Yarrowia lipolytica: one gene and its partners. The protein of the gene in region 1 purifies or fractionates together with the protein of each later gene. This does not show direct contact. Links are inferred from orthologs where the notes say so. Each region holds a gene or a part of one and is shown in the gene's direction. Other genes may lie near its edges. The genes, in order: YALI1_F32792g, YALI1_A00325g, YALI1_C12900g and YALI1_A00746g.

Evidence for each region.
Region 2: the proteins of YALI1_F32792g (region 1) and YALI1_A00325g purify together in Saccharomyces cerevisiae (affinity purification with mass spectrometry; 3 studies listed by BioGRID, with this or other methods). This does not show direct contact. The link is inferred for Yarrowia lipolytica from reciprocal best matches to the Saccharomyces cerevisiae genes RPL25 and RBG1.
Region 3: the proteins of YALI1_F32792g (region 1) and YALI1_C12900g purify together in Saccharomyces cerevisiae (affinity purification with mass spectrometry; 4 studies listed by BioGRID). This does not show direct contact. The link is inferred for Yarrowia lipolytica from reciprocal best matches to the Saccharomyces cerevisiae genes RPL25 and STM1.
Region 4: the proteins of YALI1_F32792g (region 1) and YALI1_A00746g purify together in Saccharomyces cerevisiae (affinity purification with mass spectrometry; 3 studies listed by BioGRID). This does not show direct contact. The link is inferred for Yarrowia lipolytica from reciprocal best matches to the Saccharomyces cerevisiae genes RPL25 and ZUO1.

What each region holds. Positions count from the first base shown.
Region 1 is NC_090775.1:3,277,612-3,281,186, reverse strand, and holds YALI1_F32792g (60S ribosomal protein uL23), read left to right. Parts: upstream 1-1,955; coding exon 1,956-2,381; downstream 2,382-3,575. Other genes in the region: YALI1_F32764g (uncharacterized protein), read right to left, coding at 3,405-3,575. UniProt on the Saccharomyces cerevisiae protein: Component of the ribosome, a large ribonucleoprotein complex responsible for the synthesis of proteins in the cell.
Region 2 is NC_090770.1:30,314-34,818, forward strand, and holds YALI1_A00325g (uncharacterized protein), read left to right. Parts: upstream 1-2,285; coding exon 2,286-3,392; downstream 3,393-4,505. Other genes in the region: YALI1_A00309g (uncharacterized protein), read right to left, coding at 1-635. UniProt on the Saccharomyces cerevisiae protein: Involved in ribosomal function.
Region 3 is NC_090772.1:1,288,374-1,293,209, reverse strand, and holds YALI1_C12900g (uncharacterized protein), read left to right. Parts: upstream 1-2,161; coding exon 2,162-2,176; intron 2,177-3,130; coding exon 3,131-3,925; downstream 3,926-4,836. UniProt on the Saccharomyces cerevisiae protein: Ribosome preservation factor that protect a small pool of nontranslating, vacant ribosomes in cells under nutrient starvation conditions.
Region 4 is NC_090770.1:72,280-76,769, reverse strand, and holds YALI1_A00746g (uncharacterized protein), read left to right. Parts: upstream 1-2,096; coding exon 2,097-3,386; downstream 3,387-4,490. Other genes in the region: YALI1_A00789g (uncharacterized protein), read left to right, coding at 1-1,383. UniProt on the Saccharomyces cerevisiae protein: Component of the ribosome-associated complex (RAC), a heterodimeric chaperone complex involved in regulation of accurate translation termination and in folding or maintaining nascent polypeptides in a folding-competent state.

The sequences.
Region 1 (3,575 bases):
AATAGTGCGATTTGTTCGCTACTCATGTGGGATGGACACGAGAGATACGAGATGTGAAAACATCGTAGTGGCAGAAAGTGAAAGTATCGACATGAGGTGTATAATAATAGGTACTATTGGTTGTATAGCAGGTATAAATGGTGGTCCAGCTGTTAACTATTCATTAGAAGGGAGTTTGTGTATCTCGATGTGGTGAATGAGACACCACGGACCCACTCTTGATTCATTTGTCACAACCATTTGGGACATCATCTCCGCTTAAGTCCGGGATGACATTGGGTCCAGAAAAAAAACAGCTCCCACGGCTCTTGGGACTGTCTAAGAGTTACCCCATCAGTAGATTATATTCATCTTTTGTCTGAAAAAAATGACAGAGATAATCTATATTTCAGCAGCCGATGTCAGTTCCCTTACGTGGTGGTGTGTCGCTACTGGATGAGGGGTCTGCATTGTTGTAAGAGCTGCTCGTCACATGGAAAGGAAGTATGGGAAGTCATTCATCCTTCTGTTCGATTTCTTCAATACGTACAAGAGATCGATCAAGTCGTGTCAAGTTGCTATCGTCCTGGATGAAGTTGTGGGTTTAATCTGGAAGCATTCTGATGATGGACAGTCGAAAAGTTCAAGTATTGAGTAATGCTTTGACAATATGTGGATCACAATCTGTGGATGCCCGTCATGTTTGTGGAAAAATGACTTATCATTTTCCTGCGACTTCAGCATGATATGACCACTCTCAAGGGAAACATTTCAACCTTTGCTCATGCTATACCAAGTCCAAACAGCACACATACCAAGAGAACGGTGAAAGTGTCGCTTTGGAGTACAAGTACCACTCATTGACTTTTTCATGCCTGTAGTTGTACAATGCTCCAGCAAGTGAGATAGTTCCCTCTAGTACTTACACTGACCCACGAAGCCCGTTATTCGTCAGGATTGTGACCTTTTCACACCGCACATTCCAACTACTTCCGGACAAGAAGGCGACTGGTCAGTATGCCCCAAAAGACCATTCCACAAAATACCAGTATATAGGGAGAAGCCCATGAAACACATCCATTCTCTCCATCTCCATGTATTATTCAGTCCCCAACTCGCAGAAAAAAATTACAGTCACGTGTTCCCAATGTGGACATACATTCGATCCCATGGGCTTCAACCGCCACTTTCGCACCTCTGGATGCAAGAAGCCCCACATCACCATTGTCAACAGAGCAACGGTAGAAGCCCGAATGATGGCCGATAGATACGAATTTCATTAGTAATGAACTTGAATAGTGTATCTGCGTGGCGGGCCTTATACCTGTGCTTTTATTCCACAATGTTCAGTGAGATATTAACCTGCAGTACATCCGCGGTTAAATAAGTTTAGTTGGGAGTACTTGTTGTATGTCAACAGACGACCTACTGACTCTGTATTGTAGGGCAACAGTTCGCACAAGTAGACGTTTAGCACATTAATCTTCGAAGTAATGCTTTATCACGTGACATAATCTGCAAAAAGTCATATGACGCTCCTGGGCAATAACATGCAACAAGTCCGGAGAATAAGGCCCATTATTTAGTGCATGGCGATCTTCGAACGCGCACTTCTATAGCTCCATCCATCCATCCCATCACCAAGTCCAAACTCCGTCTACCAATAAGGGTTTAAGGTTCGTCCTTTTTGGGGTCATCTATCCACGTGACCTATTTTAGACGACCCTAAATATAGCTCTAGAAATCGTCATTATGGTTGAATGTTTCTGTCCACATGCCACTACAAGACAAATATTTACCTGGTAATAATTCCCCTACCACATCTTCCGCTCCCACACAGAGTTACCCTGCCTTTAGTCTAGGGTTAGCCCTAAAGACAGTCACAGGCTAACCTAAAGCGGTGCCAAACTTTTCACTACATCAAATCCGCCGGCTCAAAAATCTTAGTTCCTCAGCTCACACTCACGACATCAACAATGGCCGCCACTCAAGCTCAGAACGCCAAGAAGGCTGCCCTCAAGGGTACCAACGGCTCCAAGACCCTCAAGTACCGATCCTCCACCATCTTCCGACGACCCAAGGTCCTTGAGCTCCCCAAGAAGCCCCTGTACCAGCGAAAGGCCGTTGCTCACTACCCCCGAATGGACTCTTACGATGTCATCATCTCTCCCCTTAACACTGAGACTGCCATGAAGAAGATCGAGGACTCCAACACCCTTGTCTTCATTGTCAACAAGAAGGCCAACAAGTACCAGATCCGAGATGCTATCAAGAAGCTCTACGAGGTCGAGATTGCCTCTGTCAACACCCTCATCCGACCCGACGGTAAGAAGAAGGCTTTCGTCCGACTCACCGCCGACCACGATGCTCTTGACATTGCCAACAAGATCGGTTACATCTAAACAACTCTTTTATTAGGGAAGTTACAAAAGGCATTTAGCCATCTCAAAAGGTGTCATTTAGAAAATGCACTAATGAACACATTTGCGAGCAATCGATATTATTTATTGAACGCGAGCCGACGAAGAGGTAGCTCCTCATGCGTCAACTCAACCGTAGCCCCCGTAGCGGAGGTGTGTCCGTGTATTATTGAATATTGAAAACTTTTTCGAGAATCCAAGCTATCATCTCCAGATGCTTTCTCGACCAACGATGGTTTAACTTCCAAAAGAACTTTCAGTTCGAGTTTTACACAATTTCCACCGTCGACGACAGCCATGCGAAACCCTGACGAACCCTGACGAAACCCGTTCAGGCATCCAGTCGAACTGGTCTATAATCTGTCATCTGCCTCGTTAACTAATGTTTGTCAAGCTCACTGCCCGACACCATACATGTGACAACACGATGTCACGGCGATCTTCTCCTCTCTGCTATACGAGTACTTGCACTCCATGTGAACGAGATCAGCCGTGTGCCAAGATCATGTGATTATGGAGAGTACGTTCGGCACTTCTTGGTACTGTACAGTATATTCCCATTGCGTAGCTAAAATATCTATACAAGCTAACTAAGCCAACTCGCCCAATGCGTGTCATTTCTCTCTCTAGATGCATTCTAAGGAGACAATGATAAAGAAGTCGTACCTTTACTAATTCCAGATAAAAGGTACAAGACATGAGTCTAGAGTGTCTGGGACACATGAAAGACAGTGGATTCCAACTTACCACATCTTCAGGTGACAAGTACGAGTTGACCACGGATGTCGTGCATCCACCTGTAAATGCTGCTGAACATAACTGTCACAATATGATTGAGCAACCCAACTTCAATTGTGAACATTTCTACATTGAGTCTCCCTTTTTGTGCCTCCTCCGAATTACACACTCGTATGGTACACTTCGGTCTGGTTTCATGTCAATACAACCCTACGGGCCATAGTCTATCGTTTCCATAATCAATAACGTTAGATAAATGCTTGCAAGTTAGGAACTCTTGTCGGTGATCTGCTCCAGATAAGGAGTGAGGTTGACGTCACTGGGAACAGTCACGTTCTTGAGAGCCTCGGTCAGAATCTTGGACCGATCTCCAATGTCCACATTGTTGATGGCCTGCTTGACGCCCTCCACAAACGGGTCCACCCCCAGAACCGACGA
Region 2 (4,505 bases), on another chromosome or scaffold:
AACTTGACCTCGGGCTCATCCACCAGAGGGAAGGCGACGACCACCGCGGGATCCAGCACCTCCTTGTAGTTCTGAGCAGCCTCAAAGTTGGCAATGGGCGTGCACAGAGCGGTGGAGTAGGGCATGACTCGATGGCCCCGGTAGACAGCGTCCTTCTTGTACAGCTCCTGAAACACCCACCAAACCGACTCCATGAACGACGTCTGCAGCGTCTTGTAGTCGTTGTCAAAGTCGATCCATCGACCCAGCCGACCAATCGTCTTGCGCCACTCCCCAGCATATCGCATCACAATGGCTCGACACTCCTCGTTGTAGTTGGCCAGACCAAACTTCATCACGTCTTCCTTGCCCTTGATATCCAGCTTCTTGTCAATCTCGTGTTCCACAGGAAGCCCATGCGTGTCCCAGCCAAACCGTCGCTCCACATGATGCCCAGTCATATGGGCATATCGTGGCACAATGTCCTTGATGGTCGACGCCAAAATGTGGCCATAGTGCGGAGTGCCAGTGGCAAACGGAGGCCCATCGTAGAAGGTGAAATGGGGCTTGTCAGCATTGAGCTTGAGTGACGTCTGGAAGGCATCAATCTCCTCCCAGAACTTGAGCACCGCTTCTTCCTCCTTGGAGAAATTCATTGTGTTTGTGTCGGTGAATCCGAGTGGGTGTTGCTAGGGTAGATTTAATGCAAAATTTCACAGGTTAGGGCTCGTTGGTTTATGGTAGGTGACTCACTGTCACGTGAATTGGAGACAAGAAAATGAAGAAAATGAAAACAAAACAAAACTCTGACATATTATTACCGGGAGGGAAATCACAATTTTTGCCCCCTTTTTATCCCAGAATTTCCAACATTTTTCCTTGGCTTTTTTCTTCACTTTTTTCATCGATTTTTTCACAAATTTTTCATCCGGTGTTTTTCCAGACTTTTTTTTTAATCTTTTTTTCCCCCGAATTTCTGCCGGGGAAAATCATGTTTTTCGAGTGGATTTCTTCATCATTTATTTATCACTCATTATATAAACACGCAATAACTGCAGTAGTCGAAGATAAATTAAAATAATAAAAAATAAAAAAGCCCGAAATACTGATATTCGTTGTGGTGGTTTTTTTTGTTTTTTTTTTTTCCAATTTTCGGTATATCCCATCTTTATTTTTCCCGTTTAATTCCATGACTGAATGTGACTCAATCGAAATTCCAGTTGACTCTTCGCCTGGTCACGTGACTCGACATTCGTCTCCGAAAAAATGACTCATCCGACATCGCAGGGCTTCCCCGTTCCCCTGACCTGGTCTGCACCCGACGAAATCAGCCCCGGAGGAGATCAGAGATTAAGAGTGTGTCGCAGAGGTTATGACTAAATTTTGGGACTACAGTACCTCAACACCAACTAACCAGTGTCGCAGAAATGGCCACCATGTCCGTCTCCAGTCTGTCCCCAATTCCCTGTAAAATATGCCATTCTAAACCTCTTAATGTTCAGATTACGGCAAACTCATCTCCTTAGGTTATGAATAGCAAGCAGTGTAAAATGATATACAGATTATGACGGGTAATAATTATCACCTGACAATCTGTCCGTCAAGTACTTGTACAAGTATAGCACCTCTGGTTCTATTTTGCGGATCCCCCTTTTTCCATGTCCAAATCTAGCCAACCTTTGTCATTTAATTATACACTCAAAATCAGGTCGATATGTGCTCTAATATATTTATTTTAAAAAGGGGGAAAAAACAGAAATAAAAAGAAGGAATAAAAGAAGAATTAAAAGGGTCTACAAAGTAAAGCCGGGAGACATAAAAACCAGATGACCTTTTTGTTTTTGCGATACATTTTCTACAAATCACATCAACCTACACACGTGATTTAGAGATATTCATAGTACCAAACCCTAATACAGATACTTCAACTTTTAACCCCAGCCCTACAGTAGAAAGATACCCGAAACGTAGCAACCCAACGATTTTATTATATTCACATAATACAGAAAGCTATATATGGGAGGTTGAGATTCTTTTTTCCCATAATGACATGTGTTTGATTGTGCCCGTGCCCATTCTTCAACGACATTCAGTCTTGAAGTGGAAACCCCAACCCCCCAAACCACCTAACCCTGCCCTAAACCCAACAACCCTAAACCGAGTAAACTGTAATTTATTACTAGCCACGCCGGGTAACTCACGTGATCTCAAATTTTCACTTTATGGATACAGAGCAAACCTCAAAGATAAGCGATTGATTTGCACTCAACCATTCACTCCTTTACAACTGCACAAAAAAAAACAAAATGTCGACAACGGTGGAAAAGATCAAAAACATCGAGGAGGAGATGGCTCGGACCCAGAAGAACAAGGCGACTTCGTTCCATCTGGGTCAGCTGAAGGCCAAGTTGGCCAAGTTGAAGCGAGAGCTGTTGACTCCCACTTCCTCTGGAGGTGGTGGCGGAGGCGCTGGGTTCGATGTGGCTCGAACTGGTGTTGCTTCGGTTGGATTTATCGGGTTTCCTTCGGTTGGAAAGTCGACTTTACTGTCCAAGTTGACTGGTACTCATTCAGAGGCAGCGGCGTATGAGTTCACCACGCTGACCACTGTTCCCGGAGTGATTATGTATCGTGGTGCCAAGATCCAGATGCTGGATCTTCCTGGAATTATCGAGGGAGCCAAGGATGGTAAGGGTCGAGGTCGACAGGTGATTGCGGTGGCTCGAACGTGCAACCTGATTTTTGTGGTGCTGGATGTGAACAAGCCGCTGGAGCACAAAAAGATCATTGAGCGGGAGCTGGAGGGATTTGGTATTCGAATCAATAAGGAGCCTCCTAACATTTTGTTCAAGAAGAAGGAGCGGGGTGGAATCAACATCACCAACACGGTTCCTCTGACCCATTTGGACAATGACGAGATTCGGGCGGTGATGGGCGAGTATCGAATCAATTCTGCTGACATCCATTTCCGATGCGATGCCACTGTCGACGAGCTCATTGACATTCTCGAGGCGCAGAACCGACGCTACATTTCGGTCATTTATTGTCTCAACAAGATTGACAGCATTTCCATTGAGGAGTTGGATCTGCTTTACCGAATCCCTAACGCGGTGCCCATTTCGTCGGAGCATGGCTGGAACCTGGACGAGCTGCTGGAGGAAATGTGGAAGAAACTCAACCTCGTTCGGGTCTACACCAAGCCCAAGGGCCAGCAGCCCGACTACGAGCAGCCCATCATTCTGCGGAATGGTCGGTCGACCGTCCAGCATTTCTGTAACCAGATCCACAAGAGTCTGGTTGAGGAGTTTAAGACGGCATGTGTCTACGGTCAGTCGGTCAAGCACCAGCCCCAGTATGTTGGTTTGGCCCATGAGTTGATGGACGAGGATGTTGTCACTATTCTGAAGAGATAGTCTGGATCCTGGCAAACACTGAGCAGTCAGCACAAGAAAAGAGGAGGTGAAGATGAAGATGAGAAGGATCCGACCGGACAGACCAAAAAAGAGATTGGGATAGATCTCAAAGAGACCGGGATGGACCGAAACAGACTGGGATGGACCGGAAGAGACCGGGTCAGAGCTCCAGACATCAGGACAGAGCTCCGGACACTGACAACCCTCCATACCCGGTCTCAGCGGTGTCCTGATGGACACACAGCTAACGCTCACCAGAGTAGTGAATATATCATGATAGGATATACATACAGTACTGTAGAGAGAAGGGTGAATGTAGGTAGTAGTGGCAAAATTCTAGCTACAACACATCTCTGGTGCATTGGTTCTGTGATGAATCAGTCATGACGACCACCAGTAGACAGTCATCGTTGGTACACAGACTCCACTGTCAATGTGTTGAAATGACGACGATTCAAACGTCTCCAACATGTGCGTACAGTACCAAAAGCATTGAAGGAAAGCGTTGTCTCATTTCAACCAAGTCCACACTTGCGAGACACCTTTATCACTCGGGAGCTCAGGCCCCTCATCCAGGCGAGACGTGGTTGGATGAGGGACAAGCATACACTCTGATAAAGGAGTCATCAGGCAGCCAAAGGGACGTTTCCAGCCAAAGGGGCGTTTCCGGCCATTGTCGAGGACCCAAGGTGCAGAAAGACCAGCAATATGTCCAGAGGGAACACCAGAACCATGTTGAGTGAGTTTGGGTCATATCTCGGACGAGGAATTGTCGCTTTGATTAGTGAGAAGGGCGGCGGGGCTGCTGAGTCATCCACCGAGATGACAACTGAATGCTTTGGAGGGATGGACTGTCGGTTGAATAATCATATGTCTGCTCGCTCCATCTGCTGTTGACTTGGTATCAGCACACCAGGACTCTCGGTCAAGAGAACAGGTGACACACGATCCAAACCTGATCCAGATCCAGCTTGTTTCGTCTGAGCATGAACGTCTGCGAAGACCGTCCTTGAGCAAAGCGTTTGTGCCCAACTCGCCAAACCGCGAGAGCAAGAGCCAGTCCGAGCAGCAACATGCCAGAACTACAGCCGCCAGCCGACGATGCCGATAACA
Region 3 (4,836 bases), on another chromosome or scaffold:
GCTTCAACGACCCTTGCTGTGGGGTACCCTGTCTGTCGTCTTTCCTCTCTGACTCTCTGCACGGCCTCTTCCGAAAGATCCGAATTGTGCGGATAGCTTTTCCGTGGCTACAGAGTCGTCAGGTTTGGCCTGAAAAAAAGGCCTGAATCGACATTGTCGCGCATGGCAGATGCGCCAGGGTGATGGACTGTGCGAGCTCCAAAGCAGTTGCGAGAAAAACTGCGGGCAAAGCTGCGGGCAAAGCAGGCAAGGCGGGAAAGCGAGCAAAACGGGCAACGCAGGCAAGGCGGGCAACGCAGGCAAAGCGGGCAAAAACGGGCAAAAACGCGAGCAAAAAGATATGTGGTCTCTCTGCAGGTTGTGAATGTGATTTCAGTGAGTGTGTGGAGCAGGGCTCATGGGGTCCGATGAAGCTGCGTGAGTGGAATTCGTCCATACATGGTGGCCACTTGTCCATCTTCATCATCTCCTCACTGAATAACCTCACTCCCGCCATGGGGATCCGGACCCTGACCACCTCCGAACGCACTCCATAACGCACTCACTCTTTAGGCGTTAGAAGCGGAGATAAGGGTGTGGGGACGGCCAATGAGAGCCACAAAGTCGGTTATCGTACAGATAATATCGGCTTTTTGACGACAACAACAAGGTGACATGATACAGGCGCGTTGGTGAAGTTGAGGGAGTACTAGTACCAGCATAGAAGCATTTTGACAAACCATCTATTCCACCTGAAGACAGTCTTTCTACAAGGTTGTCTCCAATCAGCTTACTCATCAGGATGGCTCATGAGCTGCTCATTGAGTGATTGCGTTTTATCGGTCCTGTTGCTGATTTGGTTGGTTGTTTGATTGGTTGGTGCTATACAATCAGCCAACCCAAGTACTAATAGTCAACTTCTCTGGAAACAGTCCGTGCTGTCCCGTAGATGATGGTCTAATTCAATCATGAGAAGACAACTCCGCCCAGATCGGAAGCTGTGAGGATCGGAAGCTGTGAGGGTCCTGCGTCACGTGAACATATCGACACCCAACTCCATGGCACGTGACTCCCTCTCTGTGACTCCCTCCCCATCACCCCTCTGACCTCACCAACCATTCCATTGGCCAACTGCCTACGCACCAACTACAATAAACCTTCAAGTGACTCCCCCACATTTTCCAAAGGTGTAGGTTTGGAGTGAGACTTGCTCTAAAAGTGGGACTGCAAGTACATAACAGTAGTCCTACAATCATCAGGCCCCATCCATCTTTCAGGACGACCATGGCCGCAAGTAGTGACACCAGATGGCCACAAGTACAGTATGTACAGTACAGTAGTAGTGACAGCCGCTGGTGTACGGTCGTCGTACTGTAGTTTGGAGAGGACAGTTCAGTATGCTGAAAAGTTCCAGAGCTGACCAGGATAAACGGAATATACAAGATAAGTACACACAGTACCCGTTAAATCCGTCCGACTGACAATTTACGACATCCTTCTCGTCCCTTCTATCGAGAGTCCTCCCCCCTCTCTCTCCTCCGTCCTCTCTGCCCCTCTGTCCTCCCTCTGTCCTCCTCCCCTCCTCGTGCACTGATTACTGTTGATCATACTTCTAGCAGACAGATCAGGCGATACAGCCAAGCTGAAAAGACCAAGCCAAAACCATGACCAACCAAGACCAACCAAGACCAAAACACTCTCAAAAAAGGACAAAAAAATAATAAAAAAACGTCTCTGCCGGCCCACTCAACGTCCTTGTCACGTGACTCTCTCCAATCTCTCCTTGCCACTCCACCGGCTGGTTACACCTGCCTCTATCGCACCTGCATACTCCTCACAGCAAACTTTGGAGCCTTAGGTTTGTAGACTAAAGTACACCCAGGTCCCAAGAGGTGCGGAGACAGGTTCCAAAGGGGCCCAGGGAGCGGTCTAGTGACCAATCTGAGAGGGCCAATCGATTCTCCGTGGCCGCTTTGGTCGGAGGCATCACGTCGGGCTAGGACTGGGCCCCCCGCTCGTGAGGGGGATCGCATCACGGGACTTACCCTACGTCACCTCCTCTTACCCTACCTTCCCCCATTGGGCCAGCGCCAACCCACTCACACTTGTCGGTGAAATTTTCACTTTGCTGTTGCTCCAAATTTTAAGTGTCCAAACACGAGGATAATAGAGGGCTGCTAACATGTCTGTCTCCAAGGTGAGTATTTGAAGACAAGAGGGGTTGGGGGGGCCGTGAAAGCGGGACCCGGCGGCCACGCCCCAGCGGCCAAACACCGAGGATCATCCAACCCCACATGTGGGTCATGTGTGACTGACATGGGTGGAGGTGTCCCGTGGGGCACGTGGCAGAGATGTGGGATGTGGTGTCGCAGGTGTGACGGAGGAGAAGCTGATGATGGATGGCGTCAAGGGGTTTGTTGATTACGGGGTCGATTGTGTTTTTGGCTGCTTGGCTTGTGTTGGTGCTGTTTGGGTCGGTGGAGATGCACATTTGGTGTTGTCAGATCATTGCACCCAACGGCCCCATGTCCACCTAGTGGTGTGGGCAATGTGGAGACGTGGCCTCAAGGGCAGCGTCGATGATATCGCAACCAACCACAATCCCAAAATGACCCGTTCACACTGAACGATGGAGGTGCGGGGATGTCGCAATCAGACGATCCGACGGACCTACGTCCATAGTAGTCAGTGGTCAGCAGCGTCAACCACAACCATCCCACCAATCCGAAGTGCTTGTGCTATCTACGTGGCCAGTGCCATCATTCGCCGGGCATGTATCTCTTCCTCATGCGCATCACCACACTCCAACCATGGGTCTTCTCCAGACGCCTCGGACCGGTGGGCGGACCGTGTGATTCCCGGGCTGAGCATAGCCGGCCATCTCCAGAGCCCAGCTTGCCAGCTTGCCAGGTCGCCGTCGAATCGCCGTCGACCTCCTTCACATGGCGATGTCTCTTCCTGGCTACCCCACTTGGTGAGGGGAAGCCTGGGGCCGCTGCCTGCAAGTCGACTCGCAGACGAGCAGCAAGCGAGTTGCCTGTGTTGACTGCGACGTCTCCTTGCGACTCCGTTGCGAATTGTTTGTGACTCATTTACTGCCCGCTCGCGCTCGCTCCGCTTGTGCGCTCTTGCATCTTCCGTGCTAACCCAGAACCTATACGAAATCCTCGGCAACGTGGAGGAGGACTCCAACAAGGTCATTGTGACCAAGGAGCTCACCAAGAACTCCGGCTCTTCCAAGAAGAACGCCGCCCCCAAGGACCCCGGCGCTGCCATCGGTGCTTCCAAGAAGTCCAACCAGCCCCTGCGGGACCAGAACCGGTCCAAGTCCACCGAGCCCCAGGCTGAGAAGAAGGGCAAGCCTGCCCGAAACCCCCGACCTGACCGACGATCCCAGACCGGCAAGTCCGACTCTGCCAAGAAGGTTGGCAAGGGATGGGGCGACTCCAAGGGCAAGCTCGCTGACGAGAAGGCCGGTGACGCCATCGCCACCAAGGACGAGGCCGAGCCCGAGACCCCCGTCGAGGCCCCTGTTGAGGAGCCTGACAACACCAAGACTCTGGAGGAGTACCTTGCCGAGCAGAAGGCTGCCACCGCCAAGCTTGCTTCCGGCCGATCTGTCCGACAGGCCAACGCCGGCGCCGAGTCCAAGTACTCCGAGGCTTCCAAGCTCGACAAGGACGAGGTTGCCGATCTCGTTGCCGGCACCAAGGCCAAGAACGTGCGAACCCGAGCCCGAAAGGAGAAGGTTCTGCTCGAGATTGAGCCTGCCTTCCCCGCCAACCGAGAGTCTCGAGGTGACCGATCCGACCGAGCCCCCCGAGAGAACCGAGGTGGCCGAGACGGCAAGCGAGGTGGTGACAAGAAGGGTTTCCGAACCCAGGAGCGAAAGGCTCCCTCCGTCAACCTCTCTTCCGCCTCTGACTTCCCCGCCCTTGGCGCCTAAGCGGACAACCGTGTCCTTTTGACAGGTTTTGAATCAAGTCTTTTGAATGAACAGTCGCATGGCTGACAAAACGAACGATGAGTAATCAATCGAGCGAATTATGAAACTGCAACCGACCATGACCATAGCCGTGGTTGTTGCCCTGTACATGAGTATGAAGCCGGTAGTTTGTAGCATCATGGTGCGTACTTGTAGTGATTGTATTGAGATATTTTGATAATGTTAATTATAAGCATAACCAACCCGAGGATTGAGTTCATAGGACAGGAGTAAGGGGGCCATTGTGCTGCGAATATTGGTGGTAGATGGAAGCGGGAAATGGGAGAGTCATCTGTGCAACGAGAGGAGTGTGATGGTTGTTTCCTTTTTCTGATCGGGCCATCATTGGGTGAGTTGGAGAGAGTGAGAGAGTGAGTGGAGCATTTTAACCACAGTAAGTGGCTCTATATGGTGTCAGTTCTATGACTGCAATTATACGAAGCCCATTGACGAGAGCGACAGAGATGCTGGAAAAGTCCGTCATTAATGGTACAAGCACAAGTATTGTACAATTACACGTGTTGGACGGACTTGGTTATCCATTCCAGCGCTCTATTTTACTGGTTCGTGTTTTTCACTTTTTCACCATGGCTGCATCACTCAGGCCTGCTAAGTCTGTCAGTAGTTGAGAGAAAGGAATTCTGAAAGTTGCAAAATGTCGGCGTTGATCAGAGCTTTGAAATTAGGCCACAAATGATACTTCATCTTCACTCCATCACCCAGCTATGTTGCGCCTCGTGTGCCCAAATAGGGTGCTCTCCCCCGCATTTTGTATGCATGGAGTGATGCGGCTGAGACACCGCACTAATAAATGTTGGGATACGGGCCAGCTTTCTACCACTACTTGTACCCGAAAGAAGGCCCTTTTCCAG
Region 4 (4,490 bases), on another chromosome or scaffold:
GAGTCCATCAAGGCCGAGACCGCGGCCATCACAACCCTCAAGGGTCTTATTGAGAAGAAGCGGGACAACTCCGAGACGCTGCTTCGAGACATCTCGTCGATGGAGTCGCAGCTGGAGTCGTATAACTCGGAGTTGGTGTCCGAGTTCAGCTCGCAGTTGTCTTCTGCTCAGCAGCAAGAGCTCGAGCGGGTCTGCGAGACTCTTCCTGGCCTGTCTGCCTCGGTCGCCGAGCTTCAACAGAAGGTGTCTGCTCTGGAAATGACCCGTCTGAGTCTCGAGAACGAGCTACAGCAGAACTTGTACCTGTCTCGAGACGACATGGAGCTGCAACACAACGGCGACTTTGATGCTGCCGAGCTGGCCGAGAAGGCTGCCACGCTTACCCGCAAGCTTGCTCAGATGGAGGAGCAGTTGTCGGAGGCTGCCAGCAAGCAATTGTCGACTGAGAAAGCACTGGAGACCGCGGAGCAGCAGGTGGCAAACGACGAGGCTCACCTCGCCGAGCTCAAGGATGAGCAGGCCCAGAGTCTGCGAAAGCTGTCCAAGTTTGCAAAGGCTGCCGAGCGAGTTGCAGCCAAGCGACAGGCCCTTGAACAGCGACGAGAGCATGTGCAGGCCAAGATTCGAGAGATTGGTATTCTGCCCGACGATGCTTTCCTCGATGTGTCTGCCCAGAGCGACGGCGACATGATGCAGGAGTTCAGAGAGGTGTCTGACGAGCTCAAGAAGTTTGGCCACGTCAATCGGAAAGCTCTGGAGCAATTTGCGACGTTTAGCAAGGACCGAGATCGACTTCTTTCACGTCGACAGAACCTCATGGAGTCTGCAGAGTCCATTGAGGAGCTAATTTCCACTCTTAACGACCAGAAGGACCGAGCAATCAAGCGAACGTTCCAGCAAGTGTCCAAGGAATTCTCCGAGGTGTTCCAACAGCTTGTGCCTCGAGGAAAGGGTCAGCTGGTGATCGAGCGACGGGCTCTGGACGACCAGAACCCTGACTCGTACACTGGAGTGGCGATCAACGTGTCGTTCAACTCGACGGAGAACGAGCAGCAGCGAGTGGAGCAGCTGTCGGGAGGTCAAAAGTCGCTGTGTGCGTTGGCGCTCATTTTCGCCATCCAGCGGTCCGATCCTGCCCCCTTTTACCTGTTTGACGAGATTGACGCTAATCTTGACGATCAGTATCGAACTGCTGTGGCGCAGGTGATTTCCCAGATTGCCAACGCTCCTCAGCCTACACAGTTCATTTGCACCACGTTCCGAAATGAGATGATTCACGTGGCTGACAAGTTTTACGGAGTCTTATTCAACAACAAGATTTCTACGGTGAAGAGTATTACTCGGGAGGATGCGCTGACGTTTGTTGATGGACAGAAGGCCTAGATGACGAGTGCTAAGCGAGTAACGGGCGAAGCGAATGGCGCGCGCAGCTAGTGGTGAAGTCTGAACTCAGTGGTTTGGCCTGCACATTAAGCAGGACTGGTCCAAGGGGACCTACTTATGAAAAGAATGGGTTTTGTATATGTTTATGGTAATTATTATTTAAGTGATAAGAGAGTGCGTATAGGAGAGAACAAGTATCAAGATCACCAAACGGCCCAGGGGCTCACTCTGATTCGAATCATATCAGTAAATATCCGTTCTACTTATAGAGGTATTGTTTCTACTGTATTGTACCTTGGATTGAAAGTGAAACGCCCCCTAGCGTATCTCTCAACTGGACTGTAGGATGTCTCCAATGTGAAGTTTGTGAGAAGTAGCATGACATATTCAAGTCTGTCGGATATTTTTTTCAGGACTGTATTGGTAGTGTGAGTTAGGGTGCAGTCTGGGAGTGTGGGGGAAGGCATTCAAAGTAGCCAGAAACGATCATGTGACGTGAAATGGCACGTAGAACGGCAAAAAATGAATGAGTAAGTCACAATAGCCCAAAAAGAGCTCCTAATCTGACTACACAACGACATACTAGTCTCACTTCTCTACAGCAGCAGTTTTCAGGCCCCGTTGCTTAATAAGATTGAAAAAACCTTAATCTGACATTTTGGTAAAACTTTTACCCTTACCAACTCTCTCCTTCACACCAGCACAACAACACCATGTCTCTGCCTACTCTTCCTTCCGGATGGGCTTCTGCCAACTCCGAGGGCTTTGTTGCCCACTCCGCCTTCACCTCTCCTGTCAAGCGACAGATTGAGCCCGTTGGACCCGGGTTCCTGGCCCATGCGCGACGAACTCTGCGAGGCCGAACTTGGTCTGAGGACGAGAAGGAGGAGGCCGCCAAGAACGTCAAGCAGGTCGAGGGCGAGGATGAGGACGCCGATCTCGGCGACGAGCCTGAAGACATTGAGGATCTCGAGCGAGAGGCCAAGGACTGGAAGTCTCAGGACCATTACAGAGTTCTGGGTATCTCTCACCTTCGACACCGAGCTACTGAGGACCAGATCCGACGGGCCCACCGAAAGCGAGTGCTCAAGCATCACCCCGATAAGAAGGCCGCCTCCGGCTCCAAGCTCGACGAGGACGACTTCTTCAAGTGTATCCAGAAGGCGTTTGAGGTTCTGATGGACTCCAACCGACGACGACAGTACGACTCCGTCGACGAGGCTGCCAATGTGGAGCAGCCCACCAAGAAGGAGACCACCGCCGAGAACTTCATCGAGCTGTGGGGTCCCTTCTTCGACTCCGAGATCCGATTCTCCAAGACCCAGCCCTGTCCTTCTCTTGGTACCATGGAGTCTTCCAAGGCCGAGGTGGAGGGCTTCTACGCCGCCATGTACTCCTTCGACTCGTGGAGAACCTTTGAGTACCTCGACGAGGATGTTCCCGATGACTCTTCCAACCGAGACCACAAGCGATACATTGAGAAGAAGAACAAGGCCCAGCGACAGAAGCACAAGACCGAGGACACTGCCCGATTCCGAGAGGCCGTTGACCTTGCTCTGTCCCTCGATCCCCGAATCAAGATGTTCAAGGAGGCCGACAAGAAGGCCAAGGAGGCCAAGAAGTGGGAGAAGGAGGCCGGTGCCCGAGAGGCCGCTGCTAAGGCCGCAAAGGAGGCCGAGGAGGCTGCTGCCAAGGCCAAGAAGGAGGCTGAGGAGGCTGCCGCCAACAAGGAGAACGCCAAGAAGTCCAAGGAGGCTGCCAAGTCCGCCAAGAAGAAGAACAAGCGAGCTGTGCGAAACGCCGCCAAGGACAACGGCTACTTCGGCGACGAGGCCAAGTCTGCCGATATTGACATCGATCTCGATGCTCTGCTCAACCGAATTGACGACCTTGCTCTCGGTGATCTTGCTGCTGCTCTTGACGGTGCTGATGCCGCCAAGGCCAAGGCTACCATCACTGAGGCCGCCGCTAAGGCCGGAGGTGACTATGCCTACTTCTCTTAGGTAGTTCTGACCTAGGGCAGGATCCACCCCGCCTAATCTATAGTTCATACAAGTAGAATAGATCTAGAGTACTGTCACTGACTTGGATACATGTGTAAAGCACAAACAGATGTAGATGATCGACCAAAGGGACTTTATGGGAGGATCTCAGACTGGTCAAGTGCTGTTGTGTCAAACCAGGGGTGTAGGTGTTGAGTATCAGTACAAGAAATGTGGATGCACGTGTGATGCTTATACTGGATACTCAGGACGGACCAATTGAGATCTTTACGGGCTTGTTTGAGTCTTTGTGACCACCTACCGGTCCTACTTCTTGGATGTGACTGCGGTTTAGCAGGTCCATCATTCTATTGGTCTCCACTCTGACATGCAACCGCTGCTGGAAGATCTACAAGAAGGGCACTTTAGATAGATACGTGGAGTTCAGATACGTGGAGTTCAGAGACGGGGAGTTCAGAGACGGGGAGTTGAGAACGTGGAGGATATTCAGAGACTGTTATGTTTCTACCCACTAATACGGCTATTCATGGCAAGCACCTGTGAGCGCTGGACTGATCTAAAGAATGTCAAGTACATCCGGTACATTAGCATAAGCATGTGTCAAAGGGGGTTCTTGATGACATTGGGTGTACAAAGTGGCAGTGTATCTTTTAGTTCAATCTCTGCGTGGCGTGACAGCGTATCCTTTAGTGCCATCTCTGGATGGTGTGACTACATGTGTTGCAAGGACAGTACGTTGTTTGTTATCAGTACTTAGCTGGCTCAACTGTTTTAATGGGAGATCAGTTCACCCTTAACGCACAGTTCTAACTATAAGAAGAGTTCACAACTAATACCAAGTATTTAATCGTTTGAAGAAACTGTACCGTACGTTCCATCAGATCTTCCACAGGAAAATCGAGTTGCAAGACTGATAAGATGATCAGCTAGTACTTTTTATTGGCAATATGTCATCTATCGATTTATTCTATCATATAGTTGTACAAGTACAGGTTTCGATCCATCGACGATACAGTGGACATTCTTCTCCACTAACCGCACCCTACGACTCTCCAAAGCGGCTGAAAGAATGCAAAGAATGCCAGTCGACCTGAGAGATGACAT